Linked DNA regions of Macaca mulatta. The protein of the gene in region 1 interacts with the protein of each later gene in a biochemical or structural test. Links are inferred from orthologs where the notes say so. Each region holds a gene or a part of one and is shown in the gene's direction. Other genes may lie near its edges. The genes, in order: TMED10, COPG1 and COPZ1.

Evidence for each region.
Region 2: the proteins of TMED10 (region 1) and COPG1 form a complex in vitro, tested with the Homo sapiens proteins (2 studies listed by BioGRID). The link is inferred for Macaca mulatta from reciprocal best matches to the Homo sapiens genes TMED10 and COPG1.
Region 3: the proteins of TMED10 (region 1) and COPZ1 form a complex in vitro, tested with the Homo sapiens proteins (2 studies listed by BioGRID, with this or other methods). The link is inferred for Macaca mulatta from reciprocal best matches to the Homo sapiens genes TMED10 and COPZ1.

Annotation. Positions count from the first base shown.
Region 1 is NC_133412.1:148,367,969-148,372,110, reverse strand, and holds the start of TMED10 (transmembrane emp24 domain-containing protein 10), read left to right. Parts: upstream 1-1,213; 5' UTR 1,214-1,247; coding exon 1,248-1,472; intron 1,473-4,142. UniProt on the Homo sapiens protein: Cargo receptor involved in protein vesicular trafficking and quality control in the endoplasmic reticulum (ER) and Golgi.
Region 2 is NC_133407.1:154,684,830-154,688,482, reverse strand, and holds part of COPG1 (coatomer subunit gamma-1), read left to right. Parts: intron 1-585; coding exon of another isoform or gene 586-616; coding exon 617-759; intron 760-1,093; coding exon 1,094-1,265; intron 1,266-1,653; coding exon 1,654-1,751; intron 1,752-3,653. UniProt on the Homo sapiens protein: The coatomer is a cytosolic protein complex that binds to dilysine motifs and reversibly associates with Golgi non-clathrin-coated vesicles, which further mediate biosynthetic protein transport from the ER, via the Golgi up to the trans Golgi network.
Region 3 is NC_133416.1:61,543,462-61,545,935, forward strand, and holds part of COPZ1 (coatomer subunit zeta-1), read left to right. Parts: intron 1-87; coding exon 88-165; intron 166-320; coding exon 321-372; intron 373-1,942; coding exon of another isoform or gene 1,943-1,981; intron 1,982-2,010; coding exon 2,011-2,235; 3' UTR 2,236-2,474. UniProt on the Homo sapiens protein: The coatomer is a cytosolic protein complex that binds to dilysine motifs and reversibly associates with Golgi non-clathrin-coated vesicles, which further mediate biosynthetic protein transport from the ER, via the Golgi up to the trans Golgi network.

The DNA of each region.
Region 1 (4,142 bases):
CAGGCGCCCGCCACCACGCCCGGCTAATTTTTTTGTATTTTTAGTAGAGATGGGGTTTCACCATCTTGGCCAGGCTGGTCTTGAACTCCTGACCTTGTGATCCAAAGTCACAAGGCCTCCCAAAGTGCTGGGATTACAGGCATGAGCCACTGTGCCCGGCCGTTTATTTTCATATATTCTTCAGCTCTGAATATTTGATAGCATCTCAGTAATAGTTTGTTAAATCAATAAACGTGTGGACATACATGCATAGTATAGTGTCTGGCACACAGTAGGTACTCCATTGAATGAATGTATGAATTATTACCATGTCAATTTGCTTGTCTATTTGCAATTGATCCCTAAAGTGTTTGTGAACTTACAACACACACATATTCACTTTCCCTGACAACACTTATCTGCTAAACCCTTAACTATGTTCATCTGAGACTGGACCAAAACATGTTGTTTTATTCAATTTAAATACCAAATTCAAATTTGTTTTGAATATAGCTTAGAAGACATTCAATGTTTGCTAAAATAATAATAATAACAATAATAATAATAATAATAACACCATGTACATTCAGTTAGCCAGACAGTTAACTCCAGCCCAAATACCCTGCTCTGGGACATGAATTGGATGTCTGCCCGGCACACATTCATCAGGTAACCTCTACAACTTCTCTAAGGTACTGGTCCACACTCGCTAATAGCCAAGTTTAAATCTTTCCTCGAAATTTTCCTCTCTAGTGTCTCAATGCCCCAGGTGTCATCCAGGTGTCAAAGGCGCCGAGAGTGCCTTGCAACCCGCCTCAGCCTCGGAGACTCGGCCTTACTCCCCGCCCGCGCGCCCAGCCGGCCGGTGGGCGGGCCCAGCAAAGGGTCTTGTGGCTGTTTCCTATTGGGGCTTGGTTGCTATGGTGTCACTCGCCTTTAAACTCTTGGGTACATCTTTCGGAAGTTAAAGGAGAATTACTTCCAGGGTTGCCCATACTTGCCATGGCCGACTTAGTAGTCACTAAGTTCAACGAAAATAAAACTTTTGCAACAGTATTCTATTAAAGCTTCTTTAACCACTTAAGTTTGTGGTTTTGACATGGTACCTATCCCTTCTTCCCTTTTCAAAAGATTCGCTACAGATTCTTTCTCTATTTGCCAGACTCCAAAATGGCGCGGACGGCATCAGTAGGTCAGAGGTGAGTCACGTGGGTCCTCCCGGTTCCGGCGCGGTAGAGGCCTTGGGTGGTGAACGAGTCTCCAGCACCATGTCTGGTTTGTCTGGCCCACCAGCCCGGCGTGGCCGTTGTCCGTTGGCGTTGCTGCTTTTGTTCCTGCTCTGCCCCAGCTTGGTCCTCGCCATCTCCTTCCATCTTCCCATTAACTCTCGCAAGTGCCTCCGTGAGGAGATCCACAAGGACCTGCTAGTGACTGGCGCGTACGAGATCTCCGACCAGTCTGGGGGCGCTGGCGGCCTGCGCAGCCACCTCAAGGTGCGGCACTGGGCGACATGGGGCCGGGAGGGAAGACTGCAGGCTTAGGCGAGGGGAGGCCCGGGTTCGGGGGAGTCGGGCGGGCGGAGGCCCGTGAGTTGTTCTCGCCTCTGGGGAGCGCAAAGGACGTGCGGTGGAGCCCGCCCCCTCACCCCGCTGGTTGCCTTTCGCGGGGCGGGGCTGGGCACCAACGCCTGGGAACCCCAAGAAGGGCTGCGAGGCTTTGGCGGATGTGGTGACACCTGAGCTGGAGCGGTTGTTGTCAACGTCCTATACCAGTTTTGGTCTCAGATACCTTGAACCGTAACTTGGTTCTCCAAATAAGTGTTGGGATGTTGAATATTTATGGGAATTGGCATCATAAGATACCGCGATACCTGCAGGAAAGTAATGGAGACAAAGCTGTGATTAATAGAATGTTATTGAGCATCTGCTGTGTCAGTTACTGTGCTGCTTTGCATATATTACCATTTGGTTCATGCACTATCCTATGAAGTAGATAGGTACTGTTAGCCCCATTTTACAAATGAGGAAACTGAGACTCAGAGGTAGAATAAACTAGTGTCACAGATGGAATAGATTCTTTTTTAAAAAATTATTATTATACTTTAAGTTCTAGGGTACATGTGCACAACGTGCAGGTTTGTTACATATGTGTACATGTGCCATGTTGGTGTGCTGCACCCATTAATTCGTCATTTACATTAGGTATTTCTCCTAATGTTATCCCTCCCCCATCCCCCCACCCCACGACAGGCCCCGGTGTGTGATGTTCCCCGTCCTGTGTCCAAGTGTTCTCATTGTTCACTTCCCACCTATGAGTGAGAACATGCGGTGTTTGGTTTTCTGTCCTTGCGTTGGAATAGATTCTTACTTAGTTTGGTAGTTAAGTATGTTGAGGGAAAAGCGCTGCAACCTTATTCCTTCCTTGTTTTAAATTCGTAATTTCTGTAATTGATTAAAGTCTATTATTGGTTACAAAATGGTCTCAGTCTCTAGTCCTTTTTCTTTGGTATACCAGAATCTGGACTTGGCTACTTTTATGTAAATACCAACTGTGCTCTTGGATGGTGACAACTACTACCATAATACTAGTTTGGTCCCATTCTGTAGCTAAGAGTAGCCTGGCCTGGTCTTTGAGACATTAATATAATTTGATATCTGTCAGTATTTGGTTGTATTTTAGGTAATTTTATTCATTCACAATAAGTAAAGTGTCTTTTTTTATTTCTTTGTAACACAATGAGGCTTGCTTTTCTTATGCTAAATAGTAAGAAACATTTTTACCTTTTTTTTTTTTTTGAGACGGAGTCTCCCTCCGTCGTCCAGGCTGGAGTGCAGTGGCACGATCTCAGCTCACTGCAGCCTCTACCTCCTGGGTTCAAGCGATTCTCCTGCCTCAGCCTTCCAAGTAGCTGGGACTATAGGCACCCGCCACCACACCCAGCTAATTTTTGTGTTTTTAGTAGAGATGACGTTTCACCATGTTGGCCAGGATGGTCTCGATCTCTTGACCACGATGGTGATCCGCCCGCCTCGGCCTCCCAAAGTGCTGGGATTACAGCCGTGAGCCACTGCGCCCGGCGGCCTCGTTTTTACTTTTTAATAGAGTTTCAGATATAATAAGACCGTTACTTATGTTAAAGTAGTGGAACCCAGTAGTGTGGTAATACATGTAGTTTATTTCTACTTTATTTGGGAGAGATAAACTATTTTCAGGGCAATTAATCTGTGACCCATCCTTTTATTATTCTCTTTGGGTACCAAACATCTCTCTACCCAGGAAAATAGTGATGGCATGATTTTAGAAGCTTAGACATAGTGTTTCCCGGGTGGGAGATCATGCTTCCAACTCTTCAGAGGATGTTCATGGACTCAGGGAATTTCAGCAATGAAAGAGACCTTGCTCTCATCTCCACTGTTGCTGTCTGATTTGTTCTTATATTTTAAAGCCCTTCAGTGGCTCACTATTGCTTATTGATAGTTTAAATTTCTCAGCATGCTTTGTTGTGCTCTTCATGATCTGTTTCTGAGCTATATGTGTGGTCACTTCCCACTTTGCATTCTACATGGAGCCACCCTGAACAGTACCCTGAACTCACCTATTTTCTGAACTGTTTTTGTTTATGCCTTGACCTACTTATTAGACTGTTAGTATCCTCAGGGTAGGAACTATTTTCAGATTCATCTTTTCAAGAATGCCAGGCATATTACCTTGCTTCTAGTAAGTACTCTAAATAACAGGAAATGTAGTTTAGCATGGCCTTATGGGAATTACATTGAATCTAGGGCTGGTGAAGGGACCTCAACAGCAGGACTTTAGGCCGGGCTTGGTGGCTCATGCCTGTAACCCTAACACTTTGGGAGGCCGAGGCAGGTGGATCACCTGAGTTCAGGAGTTCAAGACCAGCCTGGCCAACATGGTAAAACCCGGTCTCTACTAAAAATACAAAAATTAGCTGGGCATGGTGGCGTGTGCCTGTAATCCCAGCTACCTGGGAGGCTGAGGCAGGATAATCACTAGAACCTGGGAGGCGGTGGCTGCAATGAGCTGAGACTGTGCCACTGCACTCCAGCCTGGACAACAGAACAAGACTCCATCTCAAAACAAAACCCAGCAGGACTTTGTGCATACACCCTAGCATTTTACCATCACTCAGTTGCTCTCCT
Region 2 (3,653 bases), on another chromosome or scaffold:
CCAGGGTGGGGTCCCATGGGCCTGTGCTTAAATCCAGTGCTTGAACCTGGCCATAGGGTGTAGGCATAGGTCTTAACCAGACACAGACCATTCTAAGTTGGGTTTTCTGCAACGCTCTCATTCTGAAATATCTCTTTATTGGCCATTTGTCTTAACTGACAAATATATAGGACCAGTTTGTTACTTTGTCTGATTTTGTAGCTATAGTAGTATCGATCTTATTTTCCTAATTGATCTTATTTTCCTAATTGTCACCTTCTTTTAAGAATCCTTGCTGAGCTAGGGGGTGGAAATCCTTGCTAAGCTTCTAAAACCGGGGGAATCTCCAATTAGGTCTAGGATTTTGTGGTCTCATATCAGTGTTTTGCTTCTGAGGTCTTTCATGGTACAGAGATGGGGAGAGTATTTGTTGGGGGTTGTATCACATGAGCAAAGTCAGGGAGATGAGAAAATGCATGGATATATTCAGGAAATAATGAGTAGCCAGGTGGGTAAACATATTTATCCATCTAAGGTAGGTGGAACACCTTGAGAATGGTCATGGGAATTTATTAGAAACCATCACAAGTTGGTCTGGGGATTTAGAAGCTGAGTGAATGTGGCCTGTGGATTTCAGAGCAGTTGGCGGCGGTGCCAGAGTTCCGGGGACTTGGGCCCCTCTTCAAGTCCTCGCCTGAGCCCGTGGCCCTCACTGAGTCAGAGACGGAGTATGTCATCCGCTGCACCAAACACACCTTCACCAACCACATGGTTTTTCAGGTGAGCAAGGTGGGCTGAGGCCCTGCTGGGGCATGCGCCCAGGGAGTTGTCCCAGGTCTGGCAGGTCCTGTAGGGACATGGGTCCCCACACTGTGTTGGTTGGGAGCCCAACTTGATGACAGAATCTGTCCCCAACATGCCTGTCTCACATATCTCTTGACCCAGGGCCTCCATGGCTCCTGATTATCAGCATGGAGACAGGGAGCCTGGGGCAGGGGGACTGGGATGGGAATCACCTTGGTCAACAGGAAAGAGGTGGGACCTCCTGGCTCTTCCTCTGCAGCATGGATCAGACCTAGAGCAATGTTTAAGCTCCCCTCTCTTCCCTGTTCAGTTTGACTGCACAAACACACTCAATGACCAGACCTTGGAGAATGTCACAGTGCAGATGGAGCCCACTGAGGCCTATGAGGTGCTCTGTTATGTGCCTGCCCGGAGCCTGCCCTACAACCAGCCTGGGACCTGCTACACACTGGTGGCACTGCCCAAAGAAGACCCCACAGCTGGTGAGACCCTCTCCAGATACCACCCTATCCTTATGGGAGCTCATGGGATCAGGAGGTGGGCGACTGGGCACCAGTTGTTTGCCTTTTATTAGAGCTTCAGCTCCTTGATTTCAGTCCCAAGAAGAATAGCTGAGTCCCAAATGCTCTTCTTTAAAAAAATTTTTTTAAAGAGACAGGATCTCACTAGAACTCATGACTTGACTTTCCTGTCCTACAAGGTGGCGCCCTCTGTCCAGCTTTGTAGGATTGTATGGCTTGTTGCTGCTACTAATAACATAGCAGGGGCCTAGAAAGCAGGCTGTGACCCCTGCCTGCTTGTTCCCTGCAGGAGGAGCCCGTCCCCTGCAGTCTGGGGACTTCCTAACTACCCAGTCTCTCTTCCCCACAGTGGCCTGCACATTCAGCTGCATGATGAAGTTCACCGTCAAGGACTGTGATCCCACCACTGGGGAGACCGATGACGAAGGCTATGAGGATGAGTATGTGGTAAGAGCCTGGTGTCAGGAAGCTCAGTTTTGTGCTGAGGCTGCAAAGCAACTCCCTTCAGAAACTGACAGACAGACTGGAGCTGTTTTTGACTTTTTAGCTCTTTAAAATTTTATTTTATTATTTTATTTTTTGAGATGAAGTTTCTCTCTTGTTACCCAGGCTGGAGTGCAATGGCACGATCTCGGCTCACTGCAACCTCTGCCTCCCGAGTCCAAGTGATTCTTTTTTTTTTTTTTTTTTTTTTGAGACGGAGTCTCGCTCTGTCGCCCAGGCTGGAGTGCAGTGGCCTGATCTCAGCTCACTGCAAGCTCCGCCTCCCGGGTTCACGCCATTCTCCTGCCTCAGCCTCCCGAGTAGCTGGGACCACAGGCGCCCGCCAGCTCGCCCGGCTAGTTTTTTGTATTTTTTAGTAGTGAGGGGTTTCACTGTGTTAGCCAGGATGGTCTCGATCTCCTGACCTTGTGATCCACCCGTCTCGGCCTCCCAAAGTGCTGGGATTACAGGCTTGAGCCACCGCGCCCGGCCCCAAGTGATTCTTTTGCCTCAGCCTCCCGAGTAGCTGGTATTACAGGCGCCCGCCACCATGCCTGCCTAATTTTTTGTATTTTTAGTAGAGACAGGGTTTCACCATGTTGGCTAGGCTGGTTGCGAACTCCTCGCCTCAGGTGATACACCTACCTTGGCCTCCCAAAGTGTTGGGATTACAGGCGTGAGCCACTGCGCCTGGCCTAAAATAACTTTTTAAACTTATGGAAATACATGTTCATGTGTAAAAAGAAAACTTGGGAAATACAAAAACAAAATACAAAACAAAAGTATGAACAACAGGAAAACATTACTCATAATCTTCAGAGTTACTTTTGGGGGGCAGTGGTATAATTGGAATCATTCTTATAATGTAGACCTTGCTATTTTAAAACCATAGTGTATTTTCCAGTGTCATTACAAATACTTCATAAACACAATTTTTTTAGTGGATTTAAAATACTGTTATATACTATGTCAAAACTTGATTGACCTTTCACTCCTTGAATGTTGGGCATTTGGGTTTCCATATTTTCACTATTTATAATGCTGCACTAAATATCCCTTTAGATACAAATTTTTATCTGCATTTTAGATTATTTCTTTAGGATAGATTCCTAGAAGGAGAATAATTGGGTCAAAGGGTAAGCATGATTTTAAGACATTTTGATTCCTTTTGTCAAATGCTTTCTGGATACATTTGACCTGTTTGCCGTGCTGGGCAGTCCTTTCATGCACTGGAATAGCCCTTCTAAATTCTCCTATCTTAGCTCGATGGAACTAAGTACAGGATCCTTCTGGGGTCTGACCTTGGGGCAGTGGCTCAGGGCCATCTGAGTGCAGACCATTACGCTTAGCCTGTGGATGGGGATTGTTAGAACTCCTCCTGACTAGAGGGACAGTCATGGTGGAATACAGCTGACATTCACCATTGTGTCATCCTAGAGTCACAGTTGAGGATGGATGGACCTTCCTTAAGCTGGAAATGACCCTGAGGCAGGAGCTGCTTTAAGACCAAGTGAGCTCCTTGAGAGAGCTGGGTCTGTTTGAGCCCACCCAGAGATGATAGAAAAAAAAAAAAAAAGAGCTGGGTCGAAGTTATATTTATATACACTGTAAACATCCACAGGAGTAGGGCCTCAGTGAAAATCTGATGGGAGAACGAATGGGGAACCTTCATGTGGACTCAGTGGGAGTATTATGTGTCAAGTTCAGAGAAGACACAGCTGAAATGGAGACAGAGATTCAGGATCTGTCAAATCCAGAGGACACAGCTGGGGTAGGAGGTTTCTGCTGAACTAGAAACAGCTGCTGCTCCTGAAGAGCTCATCATCCCCTAGAAATGACAGGCATAGGAAGCAGACCTCTGAGAAT
Region 3 (2,474 bases), on another chromosome or scaffold:
TAGTTTAGGTTCCTCAATTCAGACAAGGTCCTAGGATTTCTTTCACACACAATTTGGTTTTTTTCTTCTCTTCTCTTGGGGACTCAGGAAAAATGTAGAAAAGCGAGCACTGCTGGAGAACATGGAGGGGCTGTTCTTGGCTGTGGATGAAATTGTAGATGGAGGGTAAGTTCTCTGACCTGCCTTGATCTTGGGTGAGGTAGTGGGATAACTGCCCCTGTCCTAAGTCAAGCAGGCTCAGCGGCCAGAGGTCCTGTTCCCCCACAGTGAGTTGGGCATTCGGGACAGAGTGAACAGTGATCTCTTCTTTGTTTTTGCAGGGTGATCCTCGAGAGTGATCCCCAGCAGGTGGTACACCGGGTGGCATTAAGGGTAAGCAGGAATGTGTTTCTCTGCATCCCCGCATCTATTCACAAACACCCTCCACAGCCAGACCTGCTGGATGTGTCTAGTAGTTGGGGCTCATAGGATACATAGAACCTTCTCTTTTTCTTTCAAATACATTCAGCCTTTCTCTTTCCTTCCCTTCTTATTGTCCCAAAGAAAGAAGAAGAAAGAACTTATTTCTACCCCTAATAAGGTACCTAACATCTCATACAGTCTTTGCACAAAGTGGACATTTAATACATATTTATTTAATAAGTGATAAAATAAACTAATATTTATGGTTTTGAAATTATAAAGGAACTTGAAGTTGGCTTATTTCCTTCTTGGAGATGGATCCAATCATCTGAGGCAGAAGAGTGTCTTTTTTGTCTTTTAAAGTGTTATATAGGACTGGGTGTGGTGGCTCACACCTGTAATCTCAGCACTTTGGGAAGTGGAGGCCGGTAGATCACAAGGTCAGGAGATCGAGATCAGCCTGACCAACGTGGTGAAACCCTGTCTCTACTAAAAATACAAAAATTAGCTGGGCGTGGTGGTGCGTGCCTGTAATCCCAGCTACTCGAGAGGCTGAGGCAGGAGAATTGCTTGAGCCTGGGAGGTGGAGGTTGCAGTGAGCCAAGATTGCACCACTGCACTGCAGCCTGGGTGACAGAGTGAGACTCTGTCTCAAAAATAAATAAATAAATAAATAAATAAAGTGTTACATAACTGAGGATGGTGCCTCTCCATCAGGAAGTACGTATTTGCCAGAACCTCAGAACCTCAGTCCTCTTTGGTGCTAGTGATATCAGAAAGGGGCCTCTGAGTTAACCATAGAAGGCCCCAGGTCAGCTGAGGAGATAATGGTGGATGCAGAGAGCCCACAAGCAAATTATACGGGTGCAGAGATGTCTGAGCAAAGCAAATTCTCCCCATTCACAGAATGTCCTGGCTCTGACCTCCACAGAGTGAAGGCTGACAGTGCTTGGTAATGGGAAATCTTCTCCCTTAACTGCTGTGGGCTCCATTTGCATAGTTTAATCTTCTCCTCTAACATATGTCTCTATGTGGCAAGAGAGAGGGTCCCCCCACCAACTCCCCCCTTTCTCTTCTCAGGCTGCTGTTGCAGCAGTTTATTTCTTCAAATTAACATGCTGTCGTTACCCATCAGGCTTTGCGGGATCCATTAAACCACTCCTGGCTCCCCCTCATCCTTTCCCTAGCAATACTGATACTCAGAGAAGGCCTTTTCTGACTAGAGAATCAGGTCCTCCACCCCCAAGTTAAGGGAGTTGAGGATCAGATAACCTGCTGGTTACTCGGAATGGAGTTAAATCTTTTAAGAAGTCCTCCTGCCTTAAAATGGAAGCTGGATGAAATGACCCTTTTTTGTTCATAGTCCCTCTGGCCAAGTAAAACTGTAGCTGTCCTAGTCCCCAGAAGGGACTGAGAAGTTCAGCGCATCTGCCCTTTGTTTCAGTTTAAAGGATTACTTTTTTCTTCTCTAATACCAGACTCCAATCAGGTCTTACTCCAGCTTTCTCCCACACTAAATGCTTGTATCTCTGTGCCATAGGGTGAAGATGTCCCCCTTACGGAGCAGACCGTGTCTCAGGTATGACTTTCTCCCTTCTTCCTTTCCAGATGGACTGCATCACTAAAGAGGCTAGAACAGCATTCCACCCATACCTCCCAAGTCTGAGTGAGACTGGAGACTCAAGACACATCTTTCTTGGCTCCCTCTTATTCCAGAGAACTGGGACTTATATAGCCAGCTACTCCCTACCCCTACTTCCAACTCCTTTCTTAGTTTCCTGTGAACAGTGGCTGTCAACCTTGCTCTGTACCCTTCAAACCTTCCTTGCCTGATGCCTCATTCAGTGATTTATTCCCCAGCAGAGGCTTGCCTTAAGCAGATGGTCTGTGTGCATTTGTGCATACACTCTCTCTTTCTCTTATTATTCAAATGAGGGCTAAGCTGGAAATGCATATTCTAGAATATGCAGGTTTTGCAGATCCATCTTGCTACCTTGACTGCAGATAGATTGTCTACCTGATGTAGGGGGAAGGGAGGGGTTCTGTTTTCTACCCGCTTGGCATTCTCACCA